Astyanax mexicanus: one gene and its partners. The protein of the gene in region 1 interacts with the protein of each later gene in a biochemical or structural test. Links are inferred from orthologs where the notes say so. Each region holds a gene or a part of one and is shown on either strand. Other genes may lie near its edges. The genes, in order: cdk1, rgcc, hmga1a and cdca5.

Evidence for each region.
Region 2: of the proteins of cdk1 (region 1) and rgcc, one has a biochemical effect on the other in vitro, tested with the Homo sapiens proteins (2 studies listed by BioGRID and IntAct). The link is inferred for Astyanax mexicanus from reciprocal best matches to the Homo sapiens genes CDK1 and RGCC.
Region 3: of the proteins of cdk1 (region 1) and hmga1a, one has a biochemical effect on the other in vitro, tested with the Homo sapiens proteins (3 studies listed by BioGRID and IntAct). The link is inferred for Astyanax mexicanus from reciprocal best matches to the Homo sapiens genes CDK1 and HMGA1.
Region 4: of the proteins of cdk1 (region 1) and cdca5, one has a biochemical effect on the other in vitro, tested with the Homo sapiens proteins (2 studies listed by BioGRID). The link is inferred for Astyanax mexicanus from reciprocal best matches to the Homo sapiens genes CDK1 and CDCA5.

The regions. Positions count from the first base shown.
Region 1 is NC_064421.1:44,353,941-44,361,067, reverse strand, and holds the start of cdk1 (cyclin-dependent kinase 1), read right to left. Parts: upstream 3,001-7,127; 5' UTR 2,843-3,000; intron 1,664-2,842; 5' UTR 1,651-1,663; coding exon 1,614-1,650; intron 1,065-1,613; coding exon 908-1,064; intron 1-907. UniProt on the Homo sapiens protein: Plays a key role in the control of the eukaryotic cell cycle by modulating the centrosome cycle as well as mitotic onset; promotes G2-M transition via association with multiple interphase cyclins.
Region 2 is NC_064418.1:27,770,691-27,777,580, forward strand, and holds the start of rgcc (regulator of cell cycle RGCC), read left to right. Parts: upstream 1-3,870; 5' UTR 3,871-4,001; coding exon 4,002-4,035; intron 4,036-4,180; coding exon 4,181-4,354; intron 4,355-6,890. Other genes in the region: zgc:101559 (ras-related protein Rab-33B-like), read left to right, coding at 283-717. UniProt on the Homo sapiens protein: Modulates the activity of cell cycle-specific kinases. Enhances CDK1 activity. May contribute to the regulation of the cell cycle. May inhibit growth of glioma cells by promoting arrest of mitotic progression at the G2/M transition.
Region 3 is NC_064420.1:49,603,273-49,611,283, reverse strand, and holds the start of hmga1a (high mobility group AT-hook 1a), read left to right. Parts: upstream 1-4,987; 5' UTR 4,988-5,129; intron 5,130-6,960; 5' UTR 6,961-6,969; coding exon 6,970-7,056; intron 7,057-8,011. UniProt on the Homo sapiens protein: HMG-I/Y bind preferentially to the minor groove of A+T rich regions in double-stranded DNA. It is suggested that these proteins could function in nucleosome phasing and in the 3'-end processing of mRNA transcripts.
Region 4 is NC_064408.1:21,133,398-21,140,728, forward strand, and holds the start of cdca5 (sororin), read left to right. Parts: upstream 1-4,305; 5' UTR 4,306-4,502; coding exon 4,503-4,554; intron 4,555-6,310; coding exon 6,311-6,390; intron 6,391-7,107; coding exon 7,108-7,170; intron 7,171-7,265; coding exon 7,266-7,331. Other genes in the region: zfpl1 (zinc finger protein-like 1), read right to left, coding at 1,245-1,356, 1,458-1,559. UniProt on the Homo sapiens protein: Regulator of sister chromatid cohesion in mitosis stabilizing cohesin complex association with chromatin. May antagonize the action of WAPL which stimulates cohesin dissociation from chromatin.

The DNA of each region.
Region 1 (7,127 bases):
CCAATGGGCAGTAACAAATGAACAATTATTTACTTGAGGAAGAAGGGAGAGGACAAAAAAAACTTAAAAATCACCAGTTTAAATATGTGTAAACCATGTGATCTACCAGATTTCCTTAAGCTTTAAATAGTGAATACTTAAATATAAATAAATTAATCACTGTTCGATTGGGAAAATTAAATAATAATTCAGTGTCAATCAAAACAATTAGCTGTATTAAATTTACACAATATTATGTGATTAATCATATGTCATTATCATATTTTTAAGCAGGTACTACGCTGTAAACTTGCTTTTCAAACTAGAATATTGTAAGACAAAATATAAACATGTTTGCAGGTCTATATTAGGGTACTATGACACAGTTATTGTCATGAACTTTTGCTTTTTGGAAAACACCGTGGATAATGCCACTAAATAAACCTGATTGTTGTAACTCCTGTTTAATTGGATATAGTGCAGCAAACCTTTACACAAATAAGTGTACAATTTATGCAAATAAATATATCAATATGTCACACTATATCAGATACTGTAAACAAGTCAATAAACTGCACTTGTTTAAATAAAAAAAAATTAAAGTGATATTTTATACATAATGTTTTATACTATAAGTAAAAGAATTGTATTTTTTAATGCAATCACAACAGTGGAGTGTAACACTTCTACCTAGAGGGATTAAATGGTTTAAACAAGAGTGAACTTTATTAACAAATTCCTAAATATAAAGGAATAATTAATAATCAGTACTGTTTGACAAAATTATACATATAGCAAAACAATATACTTTGATTATTTTTTTTTCATGTTCAGTTTTGAGCCAACAAAACACAAAAAAAAAAATTACCTAAATAAAAGTGTAGTATAAGCATATGAGAACACATCATAGATATACAAGTGTACACACCGTACGACGTTAGGGTGCTGAAGCTCTTTGAGCAGAGAGATTTCTCGGACGGCTGTGCTCGGGACCCCCTCCTCCTCGCTCTCCAGGCGGATCTTCTTCAGGGCCACCACCTGACCCGTGGACTTGTGACGACCTTTATACACAACTCCATATGTACCTAAGACAGGACAACACACACAGGACAATTCTTACCACCAATAAGACTAACGTACGTAATATAGCATTACTGCTGGTTACAATATGATCACACACTGAATACAGCTCTGGAAAAAGAGACCACTTCAGTTTCTGAACCAGTTTATCTGATTTTGCTATTTAAAAGTATATGTTTCAGTAAAATGAAAATTGTTTTAACATTTCTGCAAAATCCCCAAAAAAAATTAATTTAGAGCATTTATTTCCAGAAAATAGAAAAAAAAAAAGATGCAGAGCTTTCTGATCACAATTTTCATGCATCTTGGCACGTTCTCCTCCACTAGTCTTACACACTGCTTTTGGATAACTTTATGCCACTCCTGGAGCAGAAATTCAAGCAGTTTAGCTTGGTTTGATCATCAGTCTTCCTCTTGATTATATTCCAGAGGTTTTCAATTTGGTAGAATCTAAGAAACTAAGCATTTTTAAGCTGTCTCTTTTTCCAGAGCTGAATAATATAAATCAGAGTCAGGCTAGTTTCTGAAGATACTAATGCACAGTTATCACTCACCTTCTCCAATTTTCTCTATTTTCATGTAGTCTTCCATTTTTATCAGTTTTCTGTGGAGAGAAACACATTCAGTCTTTTAAAAATTTCTGCAGCTGTAGAATGTCATAAGGTTTGTAAAATTACAGTATAGACCAGTACAGTTTTTTTTTTTTTTAAAGACAACTGTATTTATGCACACAGACACACAAGACAATCAGATTCAGACGTACCGTGGCTTAAACTAAACGCAGTAAACAATTACATTTGCATTAAAAAGGATTTTATTGTTATTATTAAAAACATGAATAACTACACATATACTGACTGCATGATTTCAAACAAACATCCAATCTTGGTATTTATAAAAGCCATCAAAATGGGGTTTCATTTGCCTTTACACTGTAGTTTTCCTGCTTAAGTCCATTTGTGTTACAGTAGTTAACATTGCATTACAGAGCTTGGGCTACACATGTAATTAGCTAGTTACTTTATCCTGACATTTTATGTCAACATCTAAAAAAGGTGCATTTTATTCTATAAGATTTACCTGTATATATATATTTGTATCTATTATATATTCTGACTGCCTTTTGTTTTCTTGTTCAGGCTCAGTCGTGTTACAGTAGCTGCTGTTTCTGAACAGCCCTTCGGATAAAATGTTTATTATAACCACAATAGTTTAACTAAACAACAAAAACTTAACAGTTATTTTTTATTTTTTTGGCACACAGCCCAAACTGAGTCCCACTGTAGCTAATTACAGAACTTAACCTACACCATTTTAATGTCATATTAAGTACATAAAACCGTTTAACACACACTCATAAACCTACACACACACACCAGCCTGTGATAAACTGTCTTTCTAAGCTTGTTAACTAGTTAGTTATACATTTGATATTAATTATGTCAAAGAAGACTTCAGCAGAAATTAGGGCTTCATGGTTATACAGTCTCCTGTCACTGTCCTCCATAAGTCACCTAACCTAGGTTATCTAATTTAGATAAAAAGCTACACAAACTATTACTCGTTTTAATGATTTAGCTAATGTTTACTTAAAACAAAAAAACCAACTGTACTTACAGCAGATTTGACCGAGCTAAGCTAAGCTAACGCTAGGCAGACAGCTAGAGTTAAAGCTGAAGCGGATCTGACTACAGTTAGCACTGATGCTAACTCCTCCGCTTTTAACTGAACATTATTACGGACCAAATAAAACATTCGCAGAAAATAGCGCCCGAACACTCACCCGCGTCCTCTAAACACGCTGTCCGGCGGCAGAATAGTGTGTGAAAAAGAGTGAATGTGAGTGTGTGTAAAGGTGTGTGTATGTAAGAGTGAGGGTAAACTTGTCTGTTGGAGAATTCCTCCCGTTCAAACTGACCGCGCTGACGCAATTCAAAACGGACCAATCACAGCACACTGACAGATTTTAAACAGGCCAATCAGGTGGAGGAAGAGCTCCGGCGGGAGTGGTGTACTTTACAGCGCGACCGAAGGATATAATGTCACGAAATCCATACCTGAAAAAAAAAAAAAAAAAAAAAAAAAAAAAAAAAAAAAAAAATATATATATATATATATATATATATATATATATATATATATATATATATATATATATATATGTGTGTGTGTGTGTGTGTGTGTATATTGTAAAAATACACCAAAAAGGGTTGTGTAAATCATTAAAAAAGGAAAAAATGTTTATTAAAAAAAGAAGAAAATATATATTGTAAAATAAGCATATACAAAACATATATTAAACAAAAATAGGGAGGGGTGGTTGGAAAGAAGTCATTGGTTAAAAACTTAGCACTGGTCTGTAGCAATAAAAATAAACTGTAGTAAAGCAGTGCTGGAACATGTAACATGCAACATCTTTAGCTAAGCTTAACATACATTGGATTAGGTCTCAGTTGTTCAGGTAAAGTGAAACAATAAAGTCATTGCTAAGATAATTTTAAGATGACAAAATAATGAAAAAACAAATTTTTACGGGCCATACAGCACTGCTACTGGAAAGTTAAAAAAAGTGAACTGTTCTAAAACTGGTACATATATATGCATGACTCACACTAACAATATGACCCAATTAACACCCGACACCCGTTTTTTTTTTTTTTTTTTTTATCAGCACACTCTTAACTGGACATCCAGATATTTACCAATATGGGAAATATGTCTCAGTATGAGACTATAATATTGTGTGGCCTTGTAATTCCAGCACTAACATGGACACAGAATATGCCACAGATAACCAACTACATATAGGGTAAATAATAACTGTTATTTTTTTAATCTAACTATTCACTGTAAACATAGAACAAACATAGGGCACATTAAAACATAGGGGCAAACCTGCATTATGTATAGGCTTTCGCCAGCTATAAAACATTGACCCAGCCTCAGAGGACCACAAGACAGATTGCACTGGTCCCTTCCTTTAAGTGTATTAATTATGCATGTGTGTGTGTGTATCTAATGGATCATTAAGGGGTAGTGTTTGGACATTAGTGGTGCCTGAAATGTGCCCTCTAATCACTAATGTGGAGTTGTTTACAACATGAGGTATCGCCATACCTGTCAAGTCTCCCGTTTTGGCCGGGAAACTACCGTATTTTACTCCTCTTTCCCGCCGTCCTCCCGTATTAATATTTTCCCGTAAATTTCCCGTATTATATTAAAATTAAAAAAACTTTATTATTGAGGAGACAGGGCACTGACCGATCTGTGTCTCTTAACCAATCGTGGTGCCGGTTCAAGGAGAAAGTCTCGCCTTTCAGGAGAAACAGCCAATCAGCTTGCTGGTTTCGCGGAGCGCAGAGGTATATCAGATTCTGATAATCTAAATTTAGTGTGTAAGTGGTTCACATGTGGTTATTTTAGATTTCTTGTAAACCTGTCTTAAAATGTAAGGAATACTAAATCTTGGTTGGGCTGGTGGGACGACTTTAAGCGGACGGAGGAAAATATCCCTTATTTTTAAATATAAAACTTGACAGGTATGGGTATCGCGCGCCGCCACACGAGGCCACTGCAGCACGACTCATAAGTGTAGTGTAATTCTGTGGGCCACCAGTGGAGTCGCTGTTTCCTCTGTACAGCCTGTTTTCCAGACGGTCATGATCAGGCCATTATTGGGTAAAGGTAAACACACACACCAAAGGCGCTATGTTACAGGTACTGTTACTGTGACACTGTGTTATAGTAAAATTAGAAGACCCCTAACACAAAAGACAAACTGGCTGTCATTAAAAAATGTTCCTCCTAGCACAGCAGACTGTAGTGATATCACATTTTACTCCCATTAAAACAACTTTCTACTAATGTATTACACATTTTGCCTGTCAAAAACAATGATAGTCCTAGAAATATTATTTAAAAACAAATAAATAATCAGTGTTATTGTCATAAACCTCTGATAAAATGCTAAAATATTGCGGAAAAAGTGGACCATTTAACATTTCGCAGTTTTAACAAGACTTGTGTACAAGCCTGACTAAACCAAAACAATGCTTAAAATGTGAGGTTTACATTAGCATACTACTTTAGAAGACGAACATTACACATTACACACATTATGTACCCTTTTAAAAAAAGCAAGCAAAAATAAGTTTGGATAATGCTGGCTGCAAAACAGATGTGACCATGAAATACCTTAAAGGAGAAACCCACTGTAAAATTAACTTGTAGTGGTGTAATGGACATAATGGTGTTGTGAAACATGATAATGGCTATGAACGTTTGGCGAATAGCCCACCTCCATTCGTCCCCAGCATTCCAAAATACGGCGCCTATAGCTGATGCTCCCAATGCTAGTAATAGGGGCATAGTGTTGCCAATCAAATAAAGCGCTATATTTGCACCATTAAAGGGGCGCTAATCCACCTGAATTTAGATGGCAAGGTACTGTGAGTATAAACAGTCTTTTAAAATAAACTACCTGTGCACTTTCAAAGTGTGGAGCTACATTGAGCATGTTATTGGTTTTAAAATAGGGATTTCTTTTTATCACTAGCATTGTAAGCCTGTTGGGAGCATTAGCTAAAAGCACTGCATTTCAGAATGCTGGGGGCAAAAGGAGGAGGGCTGTTCAACAAAAGTTTGTACTAGTTATCATGTTTCACTACACCACAAATGATTTTTCCCTTAACCCTTGTGTGGGGTTCATATTTTTGTTACTCGTTTACTTTGTTACTTGTATTTAATTCAGCAAAATTAAGCAATTTTTACATTAAAATGCTTTACACATGCTTGCTTCACCTAAATTGCAAGCAATATAAACAGCTTACATGGTTAATATTTGCCCTTTACCTTTCTTATGTTACATTTCTTTTAAAAAAGTGCTACTCTTTTTTTTATTAGTTTTTTAATAAAATGTAAAAGAAAATGAATTTAACTCAAGATATGAGTAGAAAATTTGTTTAGTTTCAAATTTACAAATGAAGCAATGTTTATTAGCCCTTGGCCAAATATACTGTATGTAATATAAATGGTTGGGGAGGGGGGTGTACAGTGTGTGATTATCGAAAATGTGTTTTGATATATGTTTTTCACAAAAAATGAGCCAATGCGTTAGAAAAATGAGTTAGAAAAAATATATTTTAGTATCATTTGATGAAACATGAAAACAGGTCCCACAGACCCGAACACCACACAAGGGTTAAGTGTGGCACTTATCACAAATAAACCTTTATATAAATACCTTTATATTTTAGGTAAGTGACGGGCAGAGAATATGATCCTGATGCATAATAAGTTTCAGGCCAAGTGAAGCTGAAGAAACTTATTCTAGTTTTAGTCTGTTTCACCTCAGACAGTCCAGCAGGTACATTCTGACTACATTTAAATGGAAGAGGGGGGACTGGGGAATTTTTGGGTATTTGCTTTTTGGCTTTAGTTGACCTGCATACAGACACAATAGAGGCACTGGAGCGCAGCAGGATTTTATAATTGCAGAGAAATCATTCCCTTCATACAGGAACAAAAGCTTTCATTCAGACCCAGACCCAGAGGAACTGAGTTTAATTAAACACACCCTCACTCCAGCATCCCAAATACATTTATATGCAGATTTACTGTGCTCTAATTGGCTGAGGGGACCATCATGTACTGATGAATAAAGGAGCCTGTTAGATAAAAGCAACAATAACTTAAAATAAAAATGCTCTGGATTCATATGGATTGTAAATAATAATAAATTAATTAAAGCCAATAGATGAGTAATGTATGTCTTTATATATCATGGTTTACAACACAACACAAAAGTTAGATATGTTAGAGTTATCATGACTTTGATTGCAAACAGTATGAACCCAAGATATTTTATGTTTTATCTGCTCAACTTCAACTTTATGTGTTATTAAACATCCATTCCTGCATTTCAGGCCTCAACACTTTCCAAAAAGGCAATGCCAAAGCATTTCCCACTTTGTAATGTTACTGTTCCTTCTTACAACACTTTTTCTACTGAGTATACCAATAAATTAAGTCTACCCTGGATTTATACGGTCTGCCATCAAATACATGTG
Region 2 (6,890 bases), on another chromosome or scaffold:
ACCACATTTCTAAATTATCTCCAATTTGTAGCACTGATTTAGAATCTTTCATGTATGATCACTTAACAGACAGGATCAGGTCCATGATTGAAGCCCTCTGCTAAGCTTTAATGATTTGATGAAACTCCTGTTCCTATCAGAAATCATACAAAAGAGATTAATCTGATTCTCCACCAGTGTTTGTGCTAAGAAGCTTTATGATTGCAAACCCAGAGCTGCAGCAATACTGTTTTTTTTTGTGGATGATAAGAAATTAAATATTTCTTTCCTTTTTTTTTACAGTTGCAGATCTGGGACACAGCAGGGCAGGAGAGATTTCGAAAGAGTATGGTGGAACACTACTACCGCAATGTCCATGCTGTCATCTTTGTGTATGATGTGACCAATCTCGCTTCCTTTGAGAGTCTGCCAGAGTGGATTGAAGAATGCAGCCACCATGCCGTCCCTCCTGTGGTGCCCCGTATCTTGGTGGGGAACAAATGTGACCTAGGAAGAGGAGAGGTTCCCACCTCGTTGGCGCAGCGTCTAGCTGACAGCTACAATTTCCCCCTTTTCGAGACATCTGCTAAGGACCCTGCTGAGAAAGAGCATGTGGATGCCATCTTTCTCACCTTGGCCTACAAGCTAAAGAATCACAAGCCCCTGAGACTGAAACAGCCAAGTGAAGGTGTTGCAATGAATTCAGATAGTGAGAAGGAGGAGTCCTGTTTCTGCTGAGCTAATGTGGCCTAAATACTTATGAATCACTAAGTAACTGAGAAGACACTAAAGATGGCATTAATTTCAAATGTTCAAAAGCATGGGGAATATTGCTGATCAGAAGGACTGCACATATCCTTTGTGTTTTCATTTTCATTCACTCTCTAAGGCCAGTTTAAATGTTTACATAAAACAGAATGATTTTGAAATCAAATACTATACTTAGTTTTAGGAGTTAAAAAGGAACCAGCTGAGAGTGTTGATTGGATCATTTGATCACTTACTGTAAATAGTTTAAATTCATTCATATCAAATACTCCAGACTCATACAGTATTCATACAAGATATGTATGTGTCATACATTTCTTACATGGTTATACTATATAATTTCAAAAGAACACAGGAGACAAGCTAAACGGTCTGGCAGCAGTTGCATGTTTACAGCCAATTTGGAACACTTGCTCTATTTGCACAGGCTTAGTATTGTATACGGCCTCAAATGTCTGATGTGAACAAGAATTGGATAAAATGTGATTTACAATAATTATCAGTTGCTGAGAAAAGCATGAGTGTTGCTATTGATCAATATAAACAACACTGTCGTATGTTTTAAACTGTTTATCAAATTCAGTTTAAGTAAAATAATGAGGGATGTTTATAACAAGGCACTTTATTATGAGCATGGAAACAAAATATGTAGCATCCTCCCACTCAGCTTGTAGAGGATTGATACTTCTTAGTATTGAGTGTGTGATGTTGGAGCCATTTTTAATACAGCAAAACAACAAAATCCATTAAGATACCGTTCCTGTAAATGTGAATGTGGACCATACTGGTGGAAGACAATAGCTTGTATTGATGATGCATTTTGTCTGTCACTTTTCTGGAAGTCCTTGGAATTTAACACTCCCTTATGTTCAATAATGGTAAAGAATGTGTCATAAATGTGTATGTGACTGATGAAATGTCAAAATAAACATGGACATGATTCATTATTTCTCATTTGTTTAAACTACTTGGGAAAGCAACTGTTGGATTGCATTTTATATGTACAACCAATATATATTTTTATTAGCATATTTTTATAGTTTCATATGTTATGTGTGTTACATGACAGATGTTAAGTTGAAACATTCATTATGATGCAAGTAAATACAGTTTATGATAGCATGTAATACAGTACATATGTCAATAATATTGACATAATTAATCCACATTTTGGGCCTGTGAACTAAACAAAGCCCTGTTCTCCGTACAGGAGGTGTTATATTTGTCACTTTGTGTGACACTGTGTATGTAATTATCTCGCACAGCAGCTTTGAAAGCCATCAGGAAAGTGCAGATGCAAACACACTCTGTGTTTTGCCAGTTGTCTATGTGCTAAACCAGGCAATGTAGGTGTAGTAAAATGCTAAACGTGCTGGATTTCACACCTCAGTAGGGGTAGAGAAAATACAGAAATTAGCCCTTTAAATACTCCTACTAATTGAGCACAGGGTACAAATACAAACAGAAATGATCTAGGCATATGTATATACTTTTGCTATAGCTAAACTACAGAGTTAACAAATTGTATATATTTTTATTTATATGTATATACAAATAATTGCTCTTAAGTATGCTTGGGTAGCTTTAAAAAAGAATGGCTGTACAGCCACCCATATCCTTACATAAAATGATTGAAAAAAAGTCAGTTAAAAACATATTGTATATTTCCAAAAAACAACTTCACACGAAAAGAAAAAAAAGCTTAATTTACCATGAAGATGCAAGAAGTCTTGAGAACCTATTGCATTCTAAAACGTATTTCTATCATAAATGCAGTTACTGTTTCAAACCAGCAGGTGTCCCTACAAACTCACTATTATAGAGGAGAGGCTTCTCGCGCTGTAGGCTAAACAGAGTCTGTAGAACAGCAATATATTTTATTATATTGGTTTTCTATTCAGATTAACCCACACTGTTGGAAAAAATAACGAATGAACAGCCCTTTAGTATGGACTAAAAAATATATTTTTTCTCATTTTTTATATAAATGTTATTGAGTTAATGTGGTCCCGGAGTTCCCACTTAAAACTTATGTCCCTCCCTCCCTTAAATGAAAAAATATATATGGGCATACATTTAGATTATATACCTTCTCATTCAATGTTTGTTATGAAGGAACACACAAAGAATCATGTAGTAAACCTTTCTGAGGCGGTGCTGATGAGAGCCAGTTTTATCGTAAAGCTTTTAATAGTCTTTGCGACTGCACTTGAGGATATTTCAAAGTCCTTGAAATTTTTTGGATAAACTGACCTTCATTCTTATATATATTTTTTTACTTAGTTGAGTAATTCTTGCTATAATATGGATTAGAACATTACTCAATCAGGCTATTCACTGCGTATACCATGACTAAGTTATAACTGATGCTCTCAAACACATTAAAAGGCAAGAAATTCAAGTAATTTACTTTTGACCAGTTCAGCACAGCTGTTAACTGAAAGCCTTTCCAGGTGGCTCTACCTCATAAAGATGACGTAGAAAATTCAGCCAAAAAATCTAAAATTTAAAACAGGTTCTGGTTTGTTTAACACGTTTTTGTTTAGTAAATAAATCCAAATGTTTTGTTTTATAGTTTGGATGACTTAAGTATTAATCTACTATGCAGATGTTTACAAGGCACTGAATTTAAGATGTGTCCAAATGTATTTTATAAGACACTATTAATCCCAGGGCAAATTTCACATATTACTGTAGCCCAAGGTATAGAAAAGGCAAACACAGTAGCAAAGAAATTCTAACAATATTACACAATGTTTACATAAGTCAAAAGTTTTAAAATAAAGACAGGGAATAAAATATGTGTATATATTTGTCTATTAATACACAAATACATATAAATATATTTATTTCCTCTGTGTGAATGATGATGACTGTACCTCGTGTTAATGTGTAAGGTATGTGAGGGCAGGGTGGACTCCTGATTATAAATAAAGAGGAACTGTATGTTACGGGCTGCATGTTTATTCAGTTTACTCACACTCAGAGGAGAAATGACGGCACGCTGTGTGAAGAAGGAGCTAAAACCGGCTGCGGGGCTGAAGTTTACCTCACGTTCCCCACGCCTCCGCCTCGGGCCACGCCCACCGGCGGGAGGCGGGGAAGATTTAAAAGCGCTCAGGCTGCTTTTACTGCAGCAGGAGTGCGTATAGAGCTCAGAGCGGAGAGCGCGCGGGGGCACGAGCGACACTTTTACTGATTTGGATCATTATTTTGGAATAGTTCTGGGATAGACAGCAGCTACCTGACCCAGCATGAAGTCTCCAAAGATGAAGTCTCAGAGCAAGTGTGAGTTCAGTAGTGAGCTGTAGGGCACTTCTCCACCCTCGTGGTGGAGCTTTAGGACCTGTACAGGTTTAGTTTATCATACATATATTTAGTTCAGTTTAAGGTATACTGAAGTGTTAAACTTTGTTCTTGCTGTTGTTTCCAGCCTTTCTGGAGGAGGACGATGACCTGAACGCCGTGCTGTGCGAGTTCGACGCCGTTATCGAGGACTTCACCTCCCCCATCGAGAAGAGACACTTCAGATACGACGAGCACCTCAAGACCATGAAGAGGAGGAGCAGCGCCAGCGTCAGTGACAGCGGCATCAGCGACTCAGAGAGTGAGTGCTGCTGAGTTACTCACAGATAGTCACACACTCATCCTGAGAGGATTATACATGCAGTGATATCACTGATAAGATTAGCAGTAAAAAAGAACTAACTGTACTGGAGACTGTGAGGAGGCTTAGAAAGCTGCTGCTGCTCTTGCTGTTGTGCTTCATATTCACTAACCTACCCAGCTAACACATTTTTAGTTGGTAGAACGTTTTCTGGTCAGTGTAACTTAACGCTTATTAATATAATCTTCTGACTGTTCGAGAAGTAAAAACTCATTTTTTAATGTAGTGCAGTGTACAAGAAGTAAGTGGTTATCCATTTTTCCAATTTTAGTTTTTTCAGCCCCTCACAATTGTAATTTCAGGAAAATTTATTTTCTTTATTTTCTGATTTTTCCATTTTTGCATTTTGCAAGTTGGGTTATAACATCAGATTTGTGTTACAAGACACAAAATCTGAGAAATCTGAAAATTGAGAGAAGATTTGCCTTTTCATTTTTCTTGAAATTCTATTTGCATCAGCTACCTTTCCCCACATCACTCCAAAGGGTGATGTCGCTCAGCACAAGGCGTCTGTGAGCTGATGTATCAGAACCGAGTCGCTGCGCTTTCCTCCGAGCGCTGTGATGCTACTTAGCAATGCTGCATCAGCAGCAGTTCTAAAAGAGGTGGTGGCTGACTTCACATGTATCAGAGGAGGCATATGCTAGTCTTTACCCTCCTGGTGTTGAGGCATCACTAGTGATAGGGGGAGTCCTAATGAGTGGGTTGGGTAATTGGCTGTGTAAATTGGTGAGAAAATGGGGGGGGGGGGGGGGGGGGGGAATAGAAATAAAACTATATTATATGAAATTCTATTTGTAACCCCATTTCTTCTTCACTCAACTGAATGGAAAAAAAATGATAAAGACTTATACCCAGTTTTCTATTTTCAAACTTAGCTTGATACAGTCAGCAAAACGTTACACTGACCTTTTCTGAACGTTGCAGTTAGTAATTTTAGTACCTTTATTCTTTCAAGCTTTATGGATGTCCTTAGGACATTTTATTTATTGAATGCCTTTAATTGCCACGTGTGTCAAAGTTTCAAACTTTTAGTTGTGGAAATGTTACTTTTAAAGTTTCAAAGTTTCAAAATTTGAAAAATTCTAATCAAAACGTTGCTAAACGTTCTTATAACGCCCTCTGTTTTCTGGGGCAATACTTACAAGCCAGTTTTTTCCAACACTCATAGTTGAGACTCACTGACTTGACTGACACATTTTAGTGCTTTTCCACCTTTAACACACCCGCTTTAACTTAATTATGGGCTGTTAATGAGATGATTAGTTGGATCACGTGTTGGGAGCAGGGAAAGCACTAAAAAGTGCAGGACAGTGGGCCTCCAGAACCAAGATTGAGAAATGTATTATACATAAAGACTTACCTTTAGGTAAGTCGCCTGTTAGTTAACAGGTTATGTAAGCTATTTCTGTTAAAGGAGGGAAATAAGCAAACTATGCTGATTCTGAAGAAGCATGTTTGACATGCTTGTAATGGAGACATGTTTGTCCATGGGTTCCATTTAGGCCCCACATTTGGATGTCAGTGATGGGGCCCCAACAGGGTCAGTAATAGGACGAGTTGGAGTTAGACATGGGCCTCAACTGGGTTGTACATGGCACATGGGACCTAGATGAGACCCATGTGAGCTGTGCCCACTTGGAACATACCAAGCCCACATTCCACTCTTGTTAGCTCTACATGAGAACATTGGCTGGGTTGCCATATAATCACAATGTAATAATAATAATAATAATAATAATAATAATAAAAATAATGGTCACTGTGCTTAGGAGACTACAGTACAGCCCTTAATGTTATTTATGATTATCATTTTAAAATAAATTCTTGTAACTGTTCTGCTGGTGCAATCAAAAAAAAAAAGAAAGAAAGAAATATTTGTTTTGCCAAGCATTGATGTATCGCCCACCCATAGGCATTTTCAACTGAAACCAGATTATGAAATGCTCTTTAGAGAGCCAGGGTTAGTATCTGCAGGCAGCACTCACGTGGCAGATTTCCTTCTCAGTGATCTATCTTAAAGCAGGTATATGGAGGTCAAGTGAAGGCCCTCACAACCACTCCCTTTAGAATGAAGCTCAGCTCTTGATGTTTACTTAAGGCATGGGCTTGTGCTCATTTTGCTTTCTTCTTTGACAACATATTCAGACATGTCAGTCTCCATTTCAGAGTTGGACTGATGCCATGTGGTGCTAGTACAGATTATGTCAGGTTCTTGAGATGGTGTGTAATGCCTGGAACAACAGCAGCTGATGTTCACAGCTTTGTCTGAACAGGTAGTGTTATTGGGAGCATTCCGGCAGGCTTCCAGCAGTTAGTTCTAAGTGTGGATCAGACTCTGTCAGTGTTAAAGAGCCACAAGGAGCTGTGCAGAGAGAGCTTAGGGAGCACACAGATATATGAGGACAGCCAGAACTAACCTAGTGGGTTTGAGCACATCCAGGAGATTATAGGGTGTCATTTTCAGGTCACATGA
Region 3 (8,011 bases), on another chromosome or scaffold:
CCACAGGGTTCTATTTTAGGGTGTTTCAAATGGTTGTAAATTATGATAGTAGTGCATTTATATGTTTTATAGATTGAAGAACTGATTTTCATAAAGAGTTTAATGGGTTAACAAAACGTTCTGACCCAAAAACACTTCTAAAATCACTTTTACACTGTTTAATGATGGTGTTCTTACTAATTTACTACACCCACTACTTTAATGACGACGGGAACAAACCTACAATACCAGTCAAAAGATTGTATATACCTTTTTCCTTTATTTAATTTATTTTCTACATTGTAGATTAATATTAAATATATGAAAACGATTAAGGGACACATATAGAATTATGTAGTAAACAGTAAAAAAAGTGTTATTCCTCCACATTAATCCCCTGATCTAAACTTGATGAACTGAGATTTAGATGATTTGAGGTGATTTAATTGGGATGAGCTGGAGCAGCAACTATTGTTCAGCACCTCCAGGAACTCCTTCCTTCAAGATGCTGAGAAAACTATACCATGTGACTCTCCCTCATGAAGATACTGAGATTAAAATTCTTAGAAGAATTTAAAGTATAAAACAGATTCTGGTTTGTTTAAAAAAAAATTGAAAATCGAAAAATTGAAAAAAAAAAAAAAAAACACTGAATTGAATGAGAAGAAGAGGTGTGTCCAAACTTTTGACTGGTACTGTATATACTTTAAAACCAACAATTGTCCTTCATATTTTTTGTCCTTTGTATTTGTTTGCAAAAACAAACAATGAAAGCCCATTCCCTTAAAATAAAAAAAGACCCACAGGGTTCAATTTTAGGGCGTATAAAAATGAATGTTAATTATGAAATGAAGAACTGAAGTGGGGCCATCATACAGAGTTTAATGTGTTAACAAAAACCTCCAATACAAAAAGGAAACCAAAAAACTTTTTCACTTTTTGATGATATTTCTCTTACTGCTTATTGCATCCAGTATATCACTGATAAAGGGACAAAATCTATATATTTAAAATAAAAATAGATGTCCTTCACATTTTAGTACACTGTGCTACATCAATAAGAACCCTTGGGCAAGACTCCTAACACTACATTTTCCCATTTCTGTAATAGGAATAACCTTGTCGCTATGGAGCATCAGCTAAATGACCTAAAACACAATTATAATAAATGAATATATAAAAATACTTATATATATAGGATAGGTGAGTCTAAAACCAAGCAATTATATTGATATAATTTTAGTTTTTTAAGAGACAAAGTCATTCATTTGAAATACTGACAGTAAGTGGTGGTTTTGAGTACCTTTATTGATATTTTAAGATGATTAATGCTTATTTCTCTTTATTTCCTCTTTATTTTGATCTTTTCCTCTTATATTCTTAGGCACATTATGCTGTTAGACTGAATAGTAATTCAATGAACAATAAACAGATTAATATAAATGTTAAAAATACTTGGAAATAAAGTAAAAGTTTAGTTCCTGAAAGTAATAAATTGAGTGGTACAATCTTTTTGTGTGAGTAACCTTTGTGAGTTTGCTTTGCTTTACTGTTGGAACACAAACTAGTTTATTATGTTATCTGTACAGCACTGAGTGTTGAATCTGAATGGACTTTACCCCTTGAACCGTAGCTTTATGATAGGAGTTAATAATCCTTCTGCAGGAGCTTTTTTAGGACTATTAGGTAACCGTTTAGTTTAAGGTTTTATATATGGAGTTCCACAGGGTTCCGTTTTAGGGAGTATCAAATTGTTTAGAGTTATGCCAGTAGATTAAAGTTTAAAGTGTTACATAAAAAGTCTGAATCACTTTTTTTATACTCTCAGAGTGCCGAACACATCAAAAGAATAATATATGACTTAAACACAAAGCTTTATTGTGGCAGGAGCTAAAGTCTAATCATTTTACAGCATGAAACCTGTGACACTGCTATTGTTTGTTAAGAGTGTAGTAACAGTTACTAAAACAGGTACTAGTATCTTGGATAAGACTTGAGCAATAGTATGTTCTATCGAAGAATCATGTTTTTCTATACATTATTATATAGCATAATTCTAGAAGGCCCAAATTTATATTGGACTATATATAAAATTTTAATTTTGCTTATTTAACGTTTCTAAAAATCTTACGTATATATGATATTATTATGTTGCTGATTGGATCGTAAACAGCCATAGCAACTTAAGTTGAGTAGAGTATAGGGCAAGGGAATGGACGCTATGCGTAAACTCATATGTTAGGTGCAGAATTTATTTCTCTGCTATTGATCCATTAAGAAATTGTGAGGCAGTGTAAGGGACAGTTTGTGTGTTCAAATTATGTAGTAAAGGAAACATTGATTTGCCCTGTAATGTAATTTTAAGGATTCAAATGAATTATACCACTAATACAATGATAATTATAATAAATTAACTTTTGACCAACATTTGTTTCTTTTTTTTTTGCTTTTAAAAATCAGTTTATTTCCTCTTTTTGATTTTTAATGGCATTTTCCCCTCTTATATTACTTTTACTTTCATATTTAAATCAGTTTTAACATCAGTACATTTAAACTTTTACTTAAAGAGTAAAAAGCTTGAGTTGAAACTTCAACAGCTACAGAAGTATTTTATTAAACCATAGTATCTATACTTCTACCTATACAGAGTAATGAATGGGTAAATAGAGAGAAATAATAGCGATAAGTGTTTAATAGTTTTGTCATTTTAGGAATACCAACTTTTTTATACCACTGATACAATGATAATTATTTTTCTCCTTGTTATTTAATCACAGTTTATTTCCTCATTTTGATTTTTAATGGCATTTAATGGCATTTTTCCTTAAACTTCTACCTGAGTAATAAATGGAAATACTTCTCACAACTTTGGTCTATTTATTAGGAAATTGTGACACAGTGTAAGGGGCAGTATATGTGTTCACATTATGTAGCATTAGCAAACTAAAAATGTATGTAAATGTTATACAAAAATAAACTGCAAAAAAGTGTTTAATAATATTGTCATTTTTAGAATGTTTATTTCTTCTTTTTGTTTTTAATGCCATTTTTCCTTATATTACTTTTATTTTTATACTTTAATTAGTTTTTAAACCAGTACTTTTCTTTTTAATTAAAGAGTAAAAGCTTAAGTTGATGCTTTAGCTTCTTCTTCCTTTTCCTCTGACACCACTTTTATACTTTAAGTAGTTTAGTAGTAAAGCTTCAGCTTCTACCTTTGGTCCATTCATTAAGAATTTGTGACGCAGTGAAAGTTTGTGTTCAAATTATCTATCGAGCCAAAAATTAGAGAGTTCAAAAGTGTTTAACAGTATTGTAATTTTAATAAAACATTTTTATACCACTGATACAGTGATAATTATGAAAAATAAATACTTCCTTTGTGGAACTAACCTTTGACCCACTTTATTTCTTCTTTTTTTATTGCAGTTTATTTTTTATTTTATTTAATTTTCCTTGAGTAAAAACTCGAGTTGATACTTCAAATTCTACAGAAACATTTTAAAACCCTAGAATATACTAATATACTTCTACCTGAGTAATAAGTGTTTAATAGTATTGTCATACCACTGATGGTATACAATGATAACTAACTTTTGACCATCACACTGCCATCTTATTTATAAACTCCTTTATAAACTCTGATCCTAAAACGTCAATGGGCCCCTGATTGAATAAAAAAAAGGTAGATCCCTAAAAGCATTACAATTTGATTTGATTTGATTTAAGGAAAAAAAGAAATGTGTTGAAAAAAATATTAAAATATAATAATAATAATAATAATAATAATAATAATAATAATAATAATAATAATAATAATAATTTGAGAAAATCTTGTGGCGGATCTCTGGAATGTTTACTTGCCTTTGAGATAGTTGTTTATATGTTGTTGTTTTTCCTGCTTTCATTCTTTTTCGGTTTATCACTGTAACTCTTTTAAACTTCAATAAAAAAGAAAAAAAAACTTTTCACAAACACAATTTACCATTTTTTTGGGAGAGAGGCCTAAATTTTGAAAATAAATAAATGTAATAAAAAAATCACTGTGAAAAAGGTGGAAAAAGTACTGAAAAATTCTAATTAAGTAAAAGTACCTTCACTTTGCTAAAAATAAAAGTAAAAGTAAAAGTACCCATCTAAAAATCTACTCGAGTAAAAGTAAAAAAAATAATCAATTTAAAATGTACTTTGAGTAAAAGTTACATAGTTACTTTTATTTATTTGATGTAAAAAAAATCAACAAATCATAAATTAAATAAATATTAAATTAAATAATTTGGACCAGTATTCGTTCAGACCACCCTACAAAACATTTTCAAGAACAAGTGGCATAGGTTTCTATGATCCATTTTTTTCTTTACTTGTTAAAAAGTTATGGTCATATAGGTGACTATTAACTGTATTTTTATAGATTTACAGTTCATTATTATTTGTTTAACTTTTCATTGCTATGCTTTAACTGTTTTTAAAATGATTTACATGTTTTGTTTTGTTTTTAACATCCAAGCAGATTAATGTTTAATGTTCCCAATAAAAACTTCAGGAATTATTATGAAAAACATAAAAAAATACAAAAAACCAAACAAAAATGTTGGTCGACGCATGCGCAGTGCCGTAAAGAAGCACATATTGATGGGAAAACTTTTTTTTTTAAATTCAGACAATTTGTTTTTTTTTTTTCCCCAGCATTTTATTTTTTACTCAGTTTAACGGGGAGAGTTTTCCAATGTAGCGAAGTAAATTACTTGTGTCAAAATGTACTTGAGTAAAAGAACTACTTTAAAAATGACAAATTACTCATAAAATCTACTCAATTACAGTAATGTGAGTAAATGAGTAAATGTAATAAGTTACTTTCCACTTCTGAATTGTCTTAACTCTGAAAATACACCCTTATATTATGTAATATTGAATAATATTGTGTAAATGATGTTAAGGTGATCTTTTGTGTATAGTCCCCTGCTTAATTACCATATATAACCCCGCCCACCTCGCTGTGGCCCGTGAGGAAGCCTGTTTAAAATGCCCTGAGAGACAGCCGGGCCTTCAGCAGCGCCTCACTCCCGCACACCGGGCTCACCGCTCAGCACGCACCCAGCCTGGGACTGCCCTCAGCCTTCTCACCGCCGCACTGCTTAGCTCCAGACCAGGTACTTCCTTTATTTACTCATTTAAACTTCCTAAATTCTGCTTTATCTCCTGTTCACAACCTTATTTTACCCTTTTATATTCTGATTTACTATCCATATAAAGCACAGGGGGGGTTTAACCAGGTTAACTCGTGCTTTAAAAAAATGCGACCGTTCTTTACAGCGACTTTAGCGGCGATTATCTGCTTTATTTCAGCTCCTTCTTCGAGTTTGAGTCGAGGTACGCGTTGTAAAACGTGTTAACAATTTTTCTGATGCGTGATTCATTGTGAATTTGCAGTAAATTCGCTGTAAATCCGTCTAAAATCGAGTGTATTTACGTGCAGGGCTAGCTAGTTTGGCGCTAGCTTAGCACCACGCATGCTCAGTAGCTTCATAACGAGCTATAGCTAAAGCCTTTAGTGTGTGGCTCGTGCTTCATTGTTCAATGCAACGTGCTGCTGCTGCTAATACAAAAAACCGCCTTTGGCACGGTGTTAAAGCACGATTAAAGCACTTAAACCAGCTTTTTAAGTCGATTCGAGCGCGATTAAATTAATTTAATCGATTAATCGTGCTGCATTCGCACGTTCTTCCAAAAAAGCAACAAAAAACAGGGTGGTTTAGGGTGCCTTTTGTTGTTTGTGCGCCACCGTGTTTTTGGCGCTCAAATGCATGCAATCTGGCGCCAGTCTGGGCTTATGCATACATGCATGCTTGCATTCACGCACGCCTATGCACTAACTAAAGCATTTGCATGTATTTACTTATTTTTGTTCTCGTGCATGCTTTTAATTTTTTATTTTATTATAATATTTCATAATGCACGCCTGCTTATTTATTCTGTCTGTGTAGTGATATAAATACATGCATATGTTGTAATTTCGCTTTATTTTTGTGCTGTTGGAGCCACGCGGGCATCCGTAGCGAGTAAACTGCTTTTTTTTGGATTCTGGAATTGGCTAAGGCTGTAGCTAACTTGTGCTTAAAATGGGGATGTTATCAGCTTTATTCCAGCAATGGTAGCTCTCGAGATTAACACGAGATAATAAGGGCTTTGAAGCACGTAAGATAAGGTATTATCGATGCATGGTTCATTGAGAATTTTGTAGTTATGTAGCCAGCTATAGTGCGTGCATTTTTATTTTTTTCAAGTTTAAGCATTTTAAATATGTGTATAGAAGTTGTAGCCTGCTTATTCTTTAGCTTTTGTGTCGAGTTAAGAGTTTGAAGCACGTGAAGCACTCTTCATTGATGCACGATAAACTTATTTTTGGAGTGTATGTAGTTTAAGCTATTTTTATTAGTTCCTTTCTTTTTAAATTCATGCAAATGTTGTGCTTTCAATTTCAATGCTGTTGCAGCCACAGGGGTATCTGTAGCTAGTAATCAGCATTGCCTCGATTTAGCCAGCTAGTGTGAGCTAACTTGTTTTAAAACGTGTAGACTAGATTATACAGGCTTTTGTTTTGCTTTAACACTATTAGTGTAGTATACTATAGCATAGTATGAATTAAATTGAGATTTGAAGGGTTTTGATGCATGCGAAAAATAAATAATTTTATTGATGCATGATTTGTTATACATTAAATATGTGTAGGTAGCTACTTACATGCATGCACAAATTGTGATTTTTTTTTTTTATTATTATTTATTTTGCTTTTGCATCTAGTAATCAGACTGCTCACTTTGGGAGAAGTTGCATAAACAAGAGATTTTGCTTGCCAGCTATTTAAATTTCTTTCCTTGGTTTAGGGTTCTAGACTGCAGTGTGCATGCAGTTTTAAAGCTGCAGGACTAAAAAACTGAAGGTGTGCATGCATTGATTTCTTCTTATTTCTCTTTCCCAAAGTAAGTCAACATGAGTGACGCCAAGGACGCCATGTCTCCTAAAGATAAGGATGGAGCAGAGAAGAGAGGCCGTGGAAGACCAAGGAAGCACCCACAGGTAATGTGCAGTAATGCAAGATACTTAATTCTAGATAACTAAGTGTGGTACAAGCGTATGCAAAAAAGGAAATTCTCACAAAATAACAGTAGTTATTAATAACATTTTATAATGCTAAATTTGATGTAGAATGATGCTTATGCCAAACAAGTTAAAGTATTACAATTCTTGGTATCCAAATGTGAATTAAACAGACGTTAAACAGATTATACTACCTACTTGATTAAAAGTTGGGGCACGAGGTAAACCAGTAAAACCTACATGCTCTGCAAATGCTGAGGTTTTGAGCTAATGCACAGAGTGTTCTTCACAATAGGTGTCATTGCATGTGAGGAAATGGCATGACTCATTTCCTTTTTACTGGTAAGAATCAATACTAAACAATATGGCAAAAAAGTAAGTACTTCAACTTACTTTTTAAAGTACACACAATTCATAGCAGCTCGTACTTGAATGAATACAGTGAAATATATGAAATTGTCGTATCTTGTAGTAAAAGGACATTCAGTAGAATGCACAAAGCATTTTTAGGTTTTAACTTTTAGAGTTGCACTGATCTTAAAATGATATAGTTTATTTCTATACAAAATAAACTGTTTTAAAACCAGCAAGCATCACCTGTAAACATGTGCTGGACTAAATAGAGAAAGATATAGTGACACATATGTAACAGGCTGCAGTACTACATTTACAGCACTAGGGCTCCTGTAGTTTTATAAATACTCAGTAATTTGTGTATTTAATGCATGAGTCATTAAAATGAGTAATCTTGTGTAATCAATTACATTTTATTAAAAAGGGTTTTAACAAGGTCCTTAAATTCTTAAATTGTTTTACCTACAGCAAATTTACAGTAAATGTGTTACATTTTAGGCGGTGCATTTAATGCACAAAGTTAATGATTATGTTTTTGTGTTTATTATTATATATTTTTTTATCAGACATTACTTTTAAA
Region 4 (7,331 bases), on another chromosome or scaffold:
GCTAGTCTTCACCCTCCTGGTGTGTTGTGGCATTACTAGTGATAGGGGGAGTCCTAATGAGTGGGTTGGGTAATTGGCCGTGTAAATTGGGGAGAAAAATGGGAAAAATTAGAAATAAAATTATAAAAAAAAAAAAAAAAAATTATATATATATATATATATATATATATATATATATATATATATATATATGTTGACTGCTGTTCAGTGTTGTGTAATATATATATATATATATATATATATATATATATATATATATATATATATATATATGCTGACTGCTGTTCAGTGTTGTGTAATTTTACATAAAGAAAAAAAAATCTAAATCAATCAATCATCCCATTCCATTAACAAAGTTACCATGCCAAATAAAGTGCCAGATTAAGGCCAAAGACCTGATTCTTTTGCCAGCAAAGGGCAAGCAGAGACTCAACTTCTAAGAATTTCATGCTGTCGGAAATCTTTTCTTGAACAAAGCAGATGCAACAAAAACAGGTCCAGTCCATCTGATTTTGTACTGTATGTAACATAGCCGCTTATCTAACATTTTGATTTTGATACCACTGCTCTACATGAACAGCTGGAGTTTCTAACAGACATTCCAGACAAATGCGCTTTATATGTTTGTATGCATTTTAAGGTACATACATACATACAACATATAATTTAATACATGGTTGTGACATGGATTTTTGCTGAACCTTTGCTTTCTCCAATATGTTTTTTTAAGGAGAACCCATTAATTTAATGAGCTGATTTTATTTATTATTTTATTTTTTTAGAATACTTTTAAAAATATTTAAATTCTGATGGCTGAATGTTCTTCATAATGAAAAGTCTGTTGCTCTTTAAAATGGTCTAATTGCATTATAACGCTGTTATAGCATCATTATATCTGTGGCATAAATTGGCTTAAAATGGCAATACTATTGTTTATCATAATCTTTTCTGGAAAAATATATTCTCCAAACAAACTTTTTATCGTGACAAACCTACTGTATAGCTGATTTCCTCAACTGGGTGCAAAAAGCTGCATCATGTCCAACCAATCAACCATCATTCCATTCCTCTAACTGAGAAAGGCCCCCAGCTCACATGTGATGCGACTTTGTATTTAAGGAGTTATCTTTAACACCCTTACACAGTATTATAACCAGCCATTGCTGCTAAGCAGTATTATTCATCTAGCCACGGCATGCACATGCTGATTTAGCCATGAAATATAATGTAAAGGACTGACTCACCATAGCACACCAACCTCACAGTGTCCTGGGAAATAAGAGGTTGATTACACAAACTGCAGTTGGGATTGTAATCGCTGTCCTGGAGCCACTGCAGGTAGGATTGTACTATACACTGCACAGAAGCGGAACAGAACAGCACAGTCAACATTTGAAGGTGAACAAGGCGGACAGCCAACATGTGAGATCTGTATACACAATAATCAGTCTACAGACCTTACTGTGATTGGATACAAGGCAGTGCTCACAAACATTGACCCGATGTTCAAAGCAGAAGAGGTTTGTAACCTTCCTCTTCGGGCACTTACACAGACCCATGGTCTGCCTGTCGAACTGTACACAAACACATGAAATTAGTGTAAACAAATGTCAGTGCATCAATGCCCCAAATAGTTGTACACTACATAGAAAGTTGGTGGCTGCACATTTGAGCCAAGTTTGATTATTACGGAAACATTCTTTCAAATTTAAGTAATACCTTCAGGCCATAGAAAGGGATCAGAGACAACTGGCCTGTACCCTTACATTATCACCATATACAACCTATGCATTTTTCTACAGTACATACTGTTGCATGAAAATAAAGACACAAACATGCCTAATTATGTCTGTCAGACGTCATATAGGAAACTGACATAAATAACTGATTAGCACAGTGATTGATTATTCTACTCAGGCTTTAGTAGAGTTTAATACATCTGAGATACTAAATAACTGATCAGATAGAAAGATAAATAAATAAATAGGTGATAAATAGGTAGACAGACAGACAGATATAAAAACAGATAGATAAAAAACATAGATTGATGTTTAATATTTTATTACATTAAATTACTTTAAACGAAGGCCAACTGGACTGTAACCTAATGTTTTATAAAGTGGGCTTTTATCAAACTAAAAAAAATAAATAAGGAAAAACAGTAATAAGACAATACACTGACATATAGCCATATAACCACATCAACTAGCTAGGTTAGAAACACACCCATCCTTTTCTTTTAAAAGTACAGAACAAATTAGTGGCCTCAGTGTGATCAAATGTTAATTAGCAAGCTAGTTTAGTAGGTATATTAAGTTACTCCCAAATAGTTGGTTTCAGAATCAGCTGTTCCACGCCCTAAGTAGACGTACCCTATGTATGGAGCAGGGGGGGATACATCACCTAAAATAACAAAGTAAATAAACCTGTGTCAAGGTTATATAGGTAGGTATGTTGTTTAGCTAGCTTTAACGCTGTGGGTAAGAAATATTAAGCTGTATGATTTTTCAGTGTCTTGTTATCGCATATTAGATCGCTTGGTTACCTGTCTCTCTAGTTGGCTAAGTTAGCCTGTTAGCTGTGTTTAGAGTGGGGCGTTTAACCCCAGCTGTCAAAACCCCGTTAGAGTAAAATCAGGGACGAATACGAGGCATTACTAAACTTACCGAGACAGCGCGGGTTCAGTCAAGCTCCGTGTCTTTAAACTGAAGCTCAGAACTGTGAAAAATGTCCTGGTCCAGCTAATCTAACTCATATTTGTGATGCATTTATCGGGAAGCATTTTTCTGCCACGTCTCTTCCGCTACAGTCGCAGAGTAATGACATCACACTGCACATGGGCTGTGTCCCAATACTCCTGTAAAGCCTTCACTTCTGTGTGCTCTTGTTTAAAGTCTTCTAGCCAATCACAGTTGTATGTCTTACTCTGATCTGAATTCTGCAACAAATTCGGAACTAGTTCAATTACTGATTTTAAAAGAGTATGTGATTCTATACCAAATGGTGTTATTTGCTTACTTAAAAGAAATTACATGTTTTCAGATACTTTTTCTTCAACACTCTAAGACCTAACCTGTTCTAATGATGAATAAGATATCTAAATGCTCTTTATGTCTGTAATGTACTCAAAAACAGAATTCAGTAAATAAATACATAAAAAAATAGAAATTAAACATAATATTTGTATTTTGTCTGTTTATTGCAGTGCAGTCATTTGATCAACAATGCTATTTTTATTATTATTATATATATATATATATATATGTATATATATATATATATATATATATATATATATATATATATATATATATATATATTACAAATTACAAAGCAATAAAAAACTCATAACCTGCCACATTAGCAGGGATGCTACCATGTTTTACCTTAGTGAGCAGATTTTTAGTTTTCCAATGCAGTGGGCGGGCTAATCATCTGTTTGTTTTCAATAATACATGTCTGTTCTGGTGGACAATAGGTCTTAATCTGTGTGAAGTGAAAAAATACATAAGAAAGTAGAAAACATAACATGTCCAATGGATGCAAAGTCGAAAAAGGTTTAAAAATATATAACTTAGTATTTCTTAAAATAGGGGGCGAAATTTGATAATAACTCGTGAGCGTCTATTTTAAATTGTTTGGTACAGCGTCTTTACTGCCTGCTCTTCTTAGTTTTGCCTGATCTACAAACCTGGAAATTCACATCCCCACCAGCTATGCCATTATATTAAACGGGACCATGAGCTACAGATCAGAGAACGTCGAACAAAGCACACTACTTATTCAATTATTGGGACACAGCCACTTTTTCTAAACGACAACGTTACAAACAGCGCCGCCTACCGGATTAAAGGTTGAACTGACGCTATTTTTAACTTGTGTTACATTTATTTCTAAATATATTTTAGAAATAATATTTTATTATAAGTCAGGAACGCATTATCTGACGTTTCTATTGTTTTTTAATAAATAAAAAAATCACTCACTATATATTTAATAATTAATTAATGTTTTAAACGAGCTTGGTAGATGAGTAGTTCGATTCCTACAACGAACCGATTCTTTTGTCCGTTTTAATGAATCTCACGTCGGATTTGGTTAAACTCACGCATTTTTGTAATGTTACAGTGTCGCATTTCATGATATTTGTGGGTTTTTTTGTGTAAGTAAAACAGTAAAATTATTATTATATCATTGTAATCCTTCACGTGTAACCGAACTGAAGGGGACGTTACGAATCAGCTTGAAATTAAAATGTTCAAATGAACCGACTCAAACGATTCATTCACAAATCGAGTCCCTCTGTTGTTCCGCCATTTCTGTTAGGAAGGCGGGTAATTTTGAAAGCTCGCCGGGCAGCTCGCGTTTCTCTAGTGAGAGAAATATCTCGAATTTAGTTGAACCGAGCGCGGAATTTTGGAGTTCACATATTTCTTTATGTGTTCGCGTTTTCTGTGGGCAGCAGGCTCGCTACTTTTTGACTTTTTTGAGTAACTTTAAAAATGAGCAGCAGGACACCGCGGTCAGCGTCGACTGGCCTCATAAAAAGCAGAGGTGAGTGACTGAACTGAACCAGCCCACGATAACTCTTTATTTCTGTACTGCAGAGTCATAACTAATACAATAACTAGCTAAGTTATTTAACTAGGTTGGCCAACTCCTATTTCATTTGCTTAGCCAGGCTAGCTAAATATTATAGTTATTTTAACGCTGTGTTGTCATAAGCTAACGTTAGCTTAAGTTACTGTTTGGGTAGTTAGCTAACGTTAGCTAACCTTACTAGCGTTAAGAAACTAACTAGTGGTAATTAACTAACTGTTAGCTCGGTTAACTTATATGTTATAGTCCTGTTTGATTCTGATAAAATATGTTAATTTAATAATAGGTTCGAGTGTCTTAGTTAGCTAGCTAATGATTATCTAATAGAAATTAATGGAACCAATGTGTGCTTTTTGTGGACTGCTCCTTCTCTGAACTCAAGCTCTTACATAACAGTTAGCCAGCTGGCTAGGTTAACATTAACATTAGACCATTTCAGTTCTACTCTCTCTTAAAAGTGCAACAAAGGGAGCCTTACATATTAGTGTAAATATTAAACTAGGGGTGGGCGATATGGCCCTTAAGACAATATCATGATATTGCATGGCATTTGTGTGACAATACTCTACACTACTGCGGCAAATAAAAAGGAAATTATATTGTTGCACAAAATATCACCCCTAAAACACCTAATTTAGATATCAGCACTTCAAATATCCAGGATTAAAGTAAAATAAATGATGCTGCACAGTTATAATCTGTCTCTAGTAGATATATAACAGGGATTGAAAACAGTGTTTATTTTTCTTTTGCTGAAAACAGCAAAAAGTAGTAACCTGATGTGATAAAAGGTTGGATATGGCACTATATTTCAGGGTATAAAATCGATATAATTGCGTACAAAATTATATGGCACATCCCTATATTAAGCAATACAAAAACTCATTTTCACAAAGCAATGTATTGTTTATACATGTTAAACTGTTTATTCGAGACAGTATAAGCCCTGAAAGCTCTCCAACAAACATACAACTAATTTAAGCATTGTCTACTTTCTTTTAATGGTTTTACAATGTTGTTAAAAGGTAGTTCTGTTTATGTTTGTTGAGAAATGTTGTCACAACCTAATTTAGTTAATAATTAATAGTTAATAATAATTAATAGTTAATATAAAGTTAGGCTGAACCAAATTAATTTCTTGGCCAGACGAGAACAAAATTACAGTTGTAAAAACAAAATAACCTAATCAGCAATGCATTGTTAAGACAAAGCAATCGCAGAAGTACCAATTTTGAGAAGTTAAGTAAAAGTATAATAAGAAATACAGAACTAAATGAGATTCCAGTCTAATTGCTTCCATTCTGACAGATATTTAAATTAATAGTTTTGGTTGGCAAACTTTAAAGGCATTTACTTCCAAATATTTAGTGCATTGCTATTAATAAATGTACAGTCTGACAGTGTTTTAGGCACCAAACAATAGGTTGTCACAGTCTAAGTGTGTTTGCTGGGACCTTTCATAAATAAAGTGCACATAATAAAATGTACATTTTTTGGCAGTAGTTGAACTAGTGTTATGTTGCAATGTCCTCATTAGCGATGTCCTCTTCATTATATTGCTAAAATATCATGAAATAGTTCATAATACACTCTTAGAATTTAACGTAACACTCTAACTGACTTTTGAAAATCTTTTTGAGAGTTGCTGAATCAAATTATTATGACATTTCATTTTTGTTTGGGTAAGTTTAGTTGTGCATTGTGTTCTTAGAAACAGATGAAGGCAGCCAACAGCGAAGGAGATCAGCAAGGCTGTCGGGGAATGAAGAAAACCTGCCCCCCAAAGATGAGGTGAGAATTTTGCTGGATGTTCACTGTTTAAACTATTCTCTAAATATAAAGCTAGATTACATTATTTTACAGGAATCTGACCTACTGTAAAACCTTTTTTGAATAATATGTTAAAAAAACAAAGGTGCATCGAAAACAGCACACTACTACAAGAAGTAGTATTTAAAAGTAGTGCTTCATCATTAGAAGTAAACAAAAGCCCTAATAGGCAAATCTGTTCACTTTTCCACCAACTTTACAACTTTGGGCTTTATCAGTACATACCAAGTTTAGAGTAACAAGAATTCATATTTTATCCATGTGCCAGTCTCTTTCTTTATAATTTCTGTAAAGTACAGTCATTTGTGTTGTGTACATTAAGAATCGTATGTGGTTTGGTATACATGCTCAGGTCCAGATGCACAAAAGCATTCGTATACCACTGATTAGAAAACTTCGCTACTTTGAGATGCGCAAGTTGCTTAAACAAGCATTCAGTTGCACACAGTGTGTATACTCTTTTTATATAAATGCGGTGGGTTGCGCTGGACAGGTATCACATCATCAGTACCTGATGTGAATGTGGCTAATTGCAATAAAATATTGCAGAAAAGATTTTAACACCTAGTTTAAAGCCTTTCCAGGAGAGGATAGGCTTTTAAAGCATATGACTATGTGTCTACAAACCTTTAGGCATATTATGTTATTAATGATTTATATGCCTCTTTGCTTCTTCAGGTTCCACGCGTTTCTGTTAAACGCTCCATCACTGTACGAAAAATTGCACCCAGGAAAACTCAGGTAACTACAAATAAGCACATTGATAAATAAGCACTGTTCTTGTTTTCATTCATTATACATATATTTCTTCACACCATGCTTTTTTTTGGTCACAGGTACCATCAGAGCCTATCAAGGAAAATGTGGAAAGAAGATCCAGTGCCGGAAACAGAAAGAGGTCC